Linked DNA regions of Arabidopsis thaliana. The protein of the gene in region 2 purifies or fractionates together with the protein of the main gene of each other region. This does not show direct contact. Each region holds a gene or a part of one and is shown on either strand. Other genes may lie near its edges.

Region 1 (4,509 bases), on a different chromosome or scaffold from region 2:
TGGTGGATACCTAATATCCTTTTAATATTTGCCTTCTTTTGAGGATGGACCTTGCTTCCGAACATAACTGAAGACTTGGAGAAGTTGATTAAAATTACCAGATTAAACAACGACTACATATCTACCAATGCAATAATAGAACCGTACGACTCCAACATAAGACAAAACACTAATATCCAGTTTGGAGAAAAAAATGATTAATTAAACCATATGAATCTGAAATTTGTTTTTCCAAAACTTGTTTAAGAACTTTTCATTGATGTAAATTGCAATCTCATAGTTTTGTTAACAACAAAATGAACTGTAAACCCAATTTCAGACTCGTGTTTGTTCAATCCTAAACATGTTGGTTTCTTTCCTGATTTGGCTATATCTTTTTATAATTAATAACAATGAGACTATGATAGTTTATTAATTAAAAAAATATACAATATATTAATCAGTTCGGGTAGCCGATTTGGAATTGAAGAAATGTATTTAGTATCGAGTATTAATTTATAAACATATACTAAAAATCTTAATCAAATTTTTTTCCTTAATCCAAAATCTCTAAGCTTTAAAAGTTCAGTAGCCAATTGACACATTGTTTGTATTTATAATTTCAATATGAGTCCATCCTAAACCTAAAATAGATTTAAGCAACTTGTAAGTGAATATTTAAATAATCAAAACGAATTGTTATAAGGTTTTTTGAACCATTTTAGAGGACCCAAAAACTGTGAATCGGAGATGGAAGATCCACAATTTGTAATCGACCATATCTCCTTGTTCAAGCAACTTTAAGATAAACTCAAAATGGTATAGACTCTTCCTGAAGAAGAAATCATAATCTCACGGCTATATAAAAAGAGGATAAAACTAATAAAAGACTAAACTACTGCTTAACTGCAACAGTATTAATTAAAAAGGTTCAAAATCACAGTACAAAAACAATTAATACAAAGGAAAATCGTGGAATCCTGCTCTAAATCAATTTTTTACCAGATTCTTGAAATTTACCTACAAAGAAATAAGATCTTGTAAGATTGTAAATTCATATAGTGATAATTACAAATGCGATAGACATGTACTAACACTATGTGATCCAACAAAATACAAAAGAGAAGCATTAGGGTGTTGCTAATAAGAGTATATTATCTCTGTATTTGTCTAACAAGTGGTGGTTTCGAAAGAGATTTATATAACTCAACTTAATTTATAACAAAAAATCATTTTAATGAAACAGAAAACTTTGTAGAGTTTACACCTCAAAGTGAATGTCCCTAAATGTCTCAGCTATTTGAGTAAACCGACCAAACAGTATCACAAAAAAAGCCATATTGCATCTTCCTCTGGCTTCACACTCGTTTCTTCAGACAGTGAACCGGCTTCTTCTGGAATCATCCTGCGTATAGACAAAGATATATTAAGCCACATGAGATCTAAAACATGTACAAAAAGATGATAGCTTCTTCTTTAGAGAAGTGTAATTACATGGTTATTGAAAGTTATCTTGTCGGTGACATCAAGTATCTCCTTCCACTTCTTCCCAATACCCATCTGAATTACAATAACAAACACCAAGTAATAAATTCATCAGATAGATTCATAAACCAATCTTAACATATTGCCAAGTTTTAAAACAGATGTCCATTGACAAAGATAGTTATGTTTATAATGCCAATGAACTATTATATTTACTATTATGTTTATAAGTCGCAACATATAACCTTAACATTAAAAACAACAATTTTACTATTGCAGAAGTATCTCAATCATCAGAAGCTGGTAAAACTCTCAAGGACAGGCAACAAAGCAAGTTAAGCATCAAAACCCACTAGCTATATAGTTCTCTGTGTAGCATTAAGAATTCTCGTAACGAGTGTTAGTATTTTCTAAAGTTTACCAAACTAAATTTGGATATCCCACCAACAATCATAATCATGAATAGCCAACACCAGCATCAATATAAACATAGTGAGAAGACAAACAAACATCATACCAGAACAGCTTCATTAGACTTCGTCCTAGTCCACAAGGAGAGCTTGTCTTGCTTCGACTGTGGACGGACACTAGCAACCACACCACAAATCTCATCTGCTTCATCAAATTGCTCTCCAATCAAAGCCATCAACTACATATCATAAGAAATAGAACCAGTCACCAAAACCACATATCATCTAACAAAACACAGAAGAGTAAAAGGTTAGGGTTAGGGTTAGAATGTAATACAGTTTCAAGCCAGCCTTTGTCTAAAGCTTCCTTCCTATTAGCAGTAACAACCCAAGTCCACTTTCCTCCATTAGCACACTCTGGATCTTCCCACTTTGGCTCAACACCAGCTTTGAACAAGTGAATTTCAGCATTCGCTGTCAATTTGCTAGTCTGAAATATAGTCTCGTGCAATCTAACAATAACCAAAAAATTAACATCCTTAGATTTTCGGATCCATACACATAGATCGAGATTCACAATAACCATAGCTTCTATACAAATCCCAGATTTAGAAGTTACAAAGCAAGGCATTGACAAATATTGAAATCAAAGGAGAAGAGAGAAAGACGAACCCCCAAAAATCTTCGACGGTGTCGAAAGTATAGGCTTTACGAAGAGAAGCTCCCCAGGCGGCGCCTTTCTTTGATTGGTTATCGAACCAGAAACTCCACTTTCTTTCGAGCTTGTGTGGTTGTTTCTCCGCCTCTGTCGCCGGTAATTCCGCCGCCGCCGGGAGAGGCTCGTTCACATCATCGGTCGCCATATTCTTCGCAGTTGAGTTTTCTTCTGAGACGGCTTTTGGTTACGAGAGAGGGACAGAGAGATTGTTTTTGAGATGTATTTTGGAATGGTTTAAGAAGTGAAAAGGGCTATTTCTGGACTCTATTGGGTCAATTTTGGGCCGGTCCATCAGAGCATTTAACTCTTCTTTTCTTCTTTTTTCTTTTTCTATTGTCTTTTGGTATTTAAAAAACAAGTAAAAATAAAAATCTCCAAAATTAATTGCAAGTGGAATCCCAATAGACAAGGGTTTAAAGTATTTTTTTTTACAACAAGGTGTTGTTAAAAAAAAAATAAAAAAAAATACACCAAGGTATGAGATCTAATTTCCAAATAGCGGAATTTCTTTCATATTGTCAATGCAAAATCTTAATTAGTAGTATCAAATTAGAAAATATTGTTTACATTAGAGGTTCTAGAGTAATAAAAGATATTTTATTATATAAAGCATGATTTTTAAATTTAGTAATTCATATGACTGTTACATGTGTTATTTTTGTAGATCTTAGATTTTGGTACATGTAATTTTATTATAAATTTTAAAATTTTTAATATAAAATAAGATAAATTAAAGAAACAAAATAGTTTTAAAAATGTAAATAAGATTTTTATATTATAGTTCCAAATATAAATTAAAAAAATAAAGTTATTATAATTCCTAATCTTTTTCCCCCAAAAACAAGAAAACTTACAAATCTCTGCTTGATAAACTCATATACTCTCACTCGCCGCCTAAACTTCGGCGACGTTTGTTTGATCGCCGTCGTTCTCTCTTAAGACGAGAAGAAGTGGCAAAAACTGTACATTCTGTATCAGTTACCGCATAAAATCCGGCTACTAATTATATAGAGGTGAGTATTTGAAATCTTTTTCCTTCTAAGATTATAATTAATTGTAAAATTCCTTTATGTATTATATTTAATATAATAAGATCGTTTCCTTAAATCCTTTTTAAAATTTTTAGGAAGACGGTAATCAATTTTCTTTTAGAATTAGTAATTTCAAATTAGAATTAGTAATTGATTTATAATTTCTTTCAGTAAGATACATATAATTATCTTCTTTACATTTTTATTTCTTTAAAATAATATGTAATCTTATATTTTCTATCTTTGTTTGATAAGATACATATAATTTTCTAATATTTATCTTCTTTCAATTTTTTAAAATTGTTTTATATAAGATATATTAATATTTTACTTTGGTTTTTATATTTATATTTTTACTCATTTAATAAAATTGATAATAAGATTACATGTGTCAAAATCTAAAATCGAAAACCATACTTTATATAATAAGATATAATAATAGACAATTCTCAAAAATACCACTAAGATAAGTTTTTTGTTCCAAAAGTAACACCATCAGTTTTTTTCGTAACAGTACCAGTAAAAGATACTTTTTTTGAAAATCCCACAAAACTAAAATTCACCTATAATTTAAACTTTGGGTCTGCATTTAATATTTTGTGTTTAAATTTTAGGGTTTAGGATTTAGTTTTGAAGGTTTAAAATCTTTAGAAATCATTTTTAGACTTTGTGGTATTTTTGTACTAAATCGTTTGTAGAGGCATTTTGGAAAGAAAAAAAAACTATTTATGGTTTTTTGGAACAAAAACTTAGCTTAATGCTATTTTAGTGTATTTCTCTATAATAATAAAACTATGTTACTTTTAGTGATAAACCTTCTATTTTTTTTTTTGAGACTCAATTCAAATCAGTTTGTTTAGCATGGTTGACAACAAAAAAGGGTGGA
Region 2 (3,654 bases):
GTGGAAAGATCACTATGAAGGAAATAAGAATATAGAGTATGCAATTGAAAGCCGAAACCAAAGTGTATTGGTTCTCGGTTTAGTCTTTGTTTCATGTTACCTCATGTTAAGTTCTGGTTCAATTCTTAATTTGGGTCTAGTTCTTTAAGGCCCACTGACATCGGTTGACGAGCATCTAGTTTTGTTTCAACGAGCTTAGAAGAGAGTAAACATAGTTGTCGAGAAAAAACGAGATTTATGTGCTCGAATCATCATCTTCGTGACTGGTGAGTGATGCTTGGTTTTCGTTTTTTAACTTAGCATTGAATCTTCCAGAAATCTTATTAATTCTATCATTCTCATATGATGACATCCATGGATTCAAACAAAATTTTTGCCTTTAAGGCTATCATTAAGGCTAGAAGTGATGAAGGAACTAAAAAGCAAAGATCATGAAACACTAAGAGATTCATCCTTATGTTTGTGTTTTAGAATGCGATACATTCTATATGGAGGGAGAGAAATGATAAAGACACGGAGAGCGACCCTCAACAACGGAAAAATTGTCAAGTTGATTGATAAAAATGTGAGAAACCGATTGAGTACTCTAAGGAAAGGGAAGGTAGAAAAACATGTGGGAGGACTCCAAGTGTGGTTCACATCGAGATAATACCGAGGATATAACCACACTTGGAGTCCTCCCACATGTTTATAGGATCGGACTTTATCTGTATGCTAAGAAAACTTTGCATTCACATATATAAACGTTTATTTTTTTTTGAATATAATTTAACATTGAATTAAAAAAAAAAATTGTAAGTAGCAACAAAACAAAGTCTTAATCTCGTAACTCAGAAAGCTTATGATGTTTTCAAGGGTATTAGAACAACTCTTTCGCGCTGGGACCCCAATGGAGTGCAAATGGATGATCTTCCCAACCATTAATCTTAAGCTCATAACCAATTGAGGATGATTTGACAGATTCTTTAAACGTCTTAAAATCTCGTTCATCAGTTTTGAGTTCAATGAATCAAGCTTTTTGCCAACAGTGTTGAGAAAGAGACAAATAGCTATAATTTTTTCCTCTGATGGACACATTTGCTCAGCATCCTCCAAAAGCTTCTGTATGGTAAAAGTAAATTTAAATTATAACACACTAACACAAGTGTTAGGCATGTAGTCCCATCAGACCGGAACTAGAGAAAGTTAAACAGTCATCTTCCTAACCTGACCAATGGCTAAAACAACCTTTTCTGTCAACATCCGCTTCAAAAAAAGCTCACCACAAAAACGAAGATTTCCTAGAGTCCGGAGGTTCAACAGTCTTACTTCGTCTTCCCGTTCGGCCTCCTGATCTGGCGCGTTCATCTTTCTAATCTCCTCACTTAAGTCGTCAGTTCTCTCAAACACCTTTTGACATGTGTTCAGCAAAACCCTCTTGAATGAGATCTCATCAGTCTTAGGCGCTGAAGGTGGAAACCTAGGCATTTTGTGGCGGATATCAAAGCACAATTGAGCGTACATAGGGCAAAAGGTCGGCTCAAGGACTGCTTTGTCGAAAATAAGGGTTGTCAAACGCTGTAGTGAAAGAAAAGGGCACAAATTAGCCATATTCACGAAACTGAAGATAGATAACTCATTACGCAAAGAGAAGATGCAACCCATAAGCCATAACCAAACCTTCTTAAGTTCGTTGGGTTTTTTTCAGTTCAAATCAGAGTGTTATTCATATAAAAAAAATAACTAAAAACCAAGAAAAAAAAACTTAATACATGGTTAATTAGCTCAGACTTTTTTCCCCATAGCTAAAACCCCGACAGAAAATAATTTACGTAGAGCTTTAATATATGTAGTATAAACGAATGTAATTTTAACAAATATGATATATAGAACTAATTCTGGCAGATAATTATATAAAAGTTAATCTATATATATTACTATATGGTAAGAGCATGCACCTTTTAAGATATCAGATGTATTGCAAGAGCTGATAAGTTGGGTCATGAGACGACCATATTTCTCTTCGGCTATCTGGTTCGTTATACTGCCCAAGAAAAGTATAAAACACAAAGATAAATCTAAAGATTTGATGTTTGGAAGTTAAATAACATAATGATGCCAATATGAGAGATCAGAAGTGTATATATCTATATATATTCTGTACAAAATAGCGGATAGAGGAATTAAATTACCAGCTTATTCCTTCCAAAGCCAATGCTTTGAATGTTATCCAATCTTGCAACAATACTGTAGATCGAATACAAGCCAACCTAGCCTCTTCAATGGATTTTTCTGTCATCTGTAGTTATGAATTATGACACGTTTTGGGTGCAAAGACTTAGAAGAATCTACAATATATAAGAAAGGAATGGCCACAGCATGGTGGAAACGTGTCCAAAATTGATAATGGGGAATATTTCCCCATGCGTCAATGTTCAGAAAAAATCGAGCCTAGAAAACTGAAACGTCGGCGACCGAAATTTATTGTTTAATTTTTATTTAAGATTAGTTAAAATGGAATTACATTTGGAAAAGAAATAATGATATTATTATAAATGTAGATGGTCTCCGTTTTCCAATGTAAATCATTTTTTTTTCTAGTTATGAATGTTAATATCATTATAAACTGAAAAAGTCTGCCTTTACATTGTAATAGCCTATGATTTTAATTCCTTGAGAAAAAAAAAGTTAAAAACAATGAGTCAATATAACTAAGAAGTCACTTCTTGTGAGTTCAAGTTATCCACTTTCGACACATTTAGATAATTAGACACTTACGTATTCTTTTTGAGCTCATTCCCTTTTAAACGAGAGACCAGTGATCAATAAGTATCATTATATATCATACAAATTAGTTAGCCTAAGTTCGTGTATATCAAATCATAACATCACGTAGATGCAAATATACAATCAAATAACTAGTGAAAGAAAAAGAAGAATTGTAAACTTTGGAATGAGACCAGGTTACAGGTACTTCAAATAACTTTTATCTACTACTAGGCATTTACAGGAACAGAGGAGGAAGAAAATGGTGAGCTAATGGATGTGACACAGCCTTTAAGGTGATCAAGAATAGCTTTCTTTGTCTTCGTTAGGCTTGCGTGTGACGTCAAAGGCAGTCCTTCTTTGACACACTCGTCGTACTTCTCTAGCACCGCCACTATGTTTGAGAAGTCTGGCCGCTTCGACGGATTCTCTGACCAACACCTCTTGATTAGATGAGCTAGCGCTGGTTGACAGCTCGCCGGCAATGGTGGTCTTTCGTTCTGCTCATCAAAGAAACCAAAAAAATCAATAACTTGTATCCCAAGAAAAACAACAATCTGGTAAATAAGATGAATGGAGACTGACCTTTTCAGCGACTGCGAATGCGGCTTGCACAGGAGTCATGCCTTGGAACGGAAGCAACGCGGTGGTGAGTTCCCATAGAACGATGCCAAAGCTATAAACATCGACTTTTCTGGTATAAGGCTTCTCCTTGATCATCTCTGGAGCCATCCATCTATAAGTTCCCATGTTACCCTTGGCCTCTCTGCATTGCGTCTCAAGACAAGATGTCCCAAAGTCTGCAACTTTAACTCTCATCTCGTCGTTCAAAAGCAAATTGTTGGACTTTAGGTCTCTGTGGATAACACCTTGCGAGTGAAGATACTCCATTCCTCTTGAGATGTCTAG

What was found.
Region 1: the proteins of AT1G62410 (region 2) and LSP1 fractionate together in Arabidopsis thaliana (co-fractionation; one large-scale study listed by BioGRID). This does not show direct contact.

What each region holds. Positions count from the first base shown.
Region 1 is NC_003076.8:13,823,595-13,828,103, forward strand, and holds LSP1 (Eukaryotic initiation factor 4E protein), read right to left. Parts: upstream 2,810-4,509; 5' UTR 2,738-2,809; coding exon 2,547-2,737; intron 2,387-2,546; coding exon 2,212-2,386; intron 2,114-2,211; coding exon 1,982-2,113; coding exon of another isoform or gene 1,976-1,981; exon of another isoform or gene 1,540-1,975; coding exon 1,474-1,539; intron 1,385-1,473; coding exon 1,352-1,384; 3' UTR 1,247-1,351; exon of another isoform or gene 1,027-1,246; intron 1,000-1,026; 3' UTR 830-999; downstream 1-829. UniProt on the Arabidopsis thaliana protein: Recognizes and binds the 7-methylguanosine-containing mRNA cap during an early step in the initiation of protein synthesis and facilitates ribosome binding by inducing the unwinding of the mRNAs secondary structures.
Region 2 is NC_003070.9:23,090,851-23,094,504, reverse strand, and holds AT1G62410 (MIF4G domain-containing protein), read right to left. Parts: upstream 1,591-3,654; coding exon 1,207-1,590; intron 1,102-1,206; coding exon 886-1,101; intron 708-885; coding exon 636-707; downstream 1-635. Other genes in the region: HT1 (Protein kinase superfamily protein), read right to left, coding at 2,976-3,245, 3,331-3,654.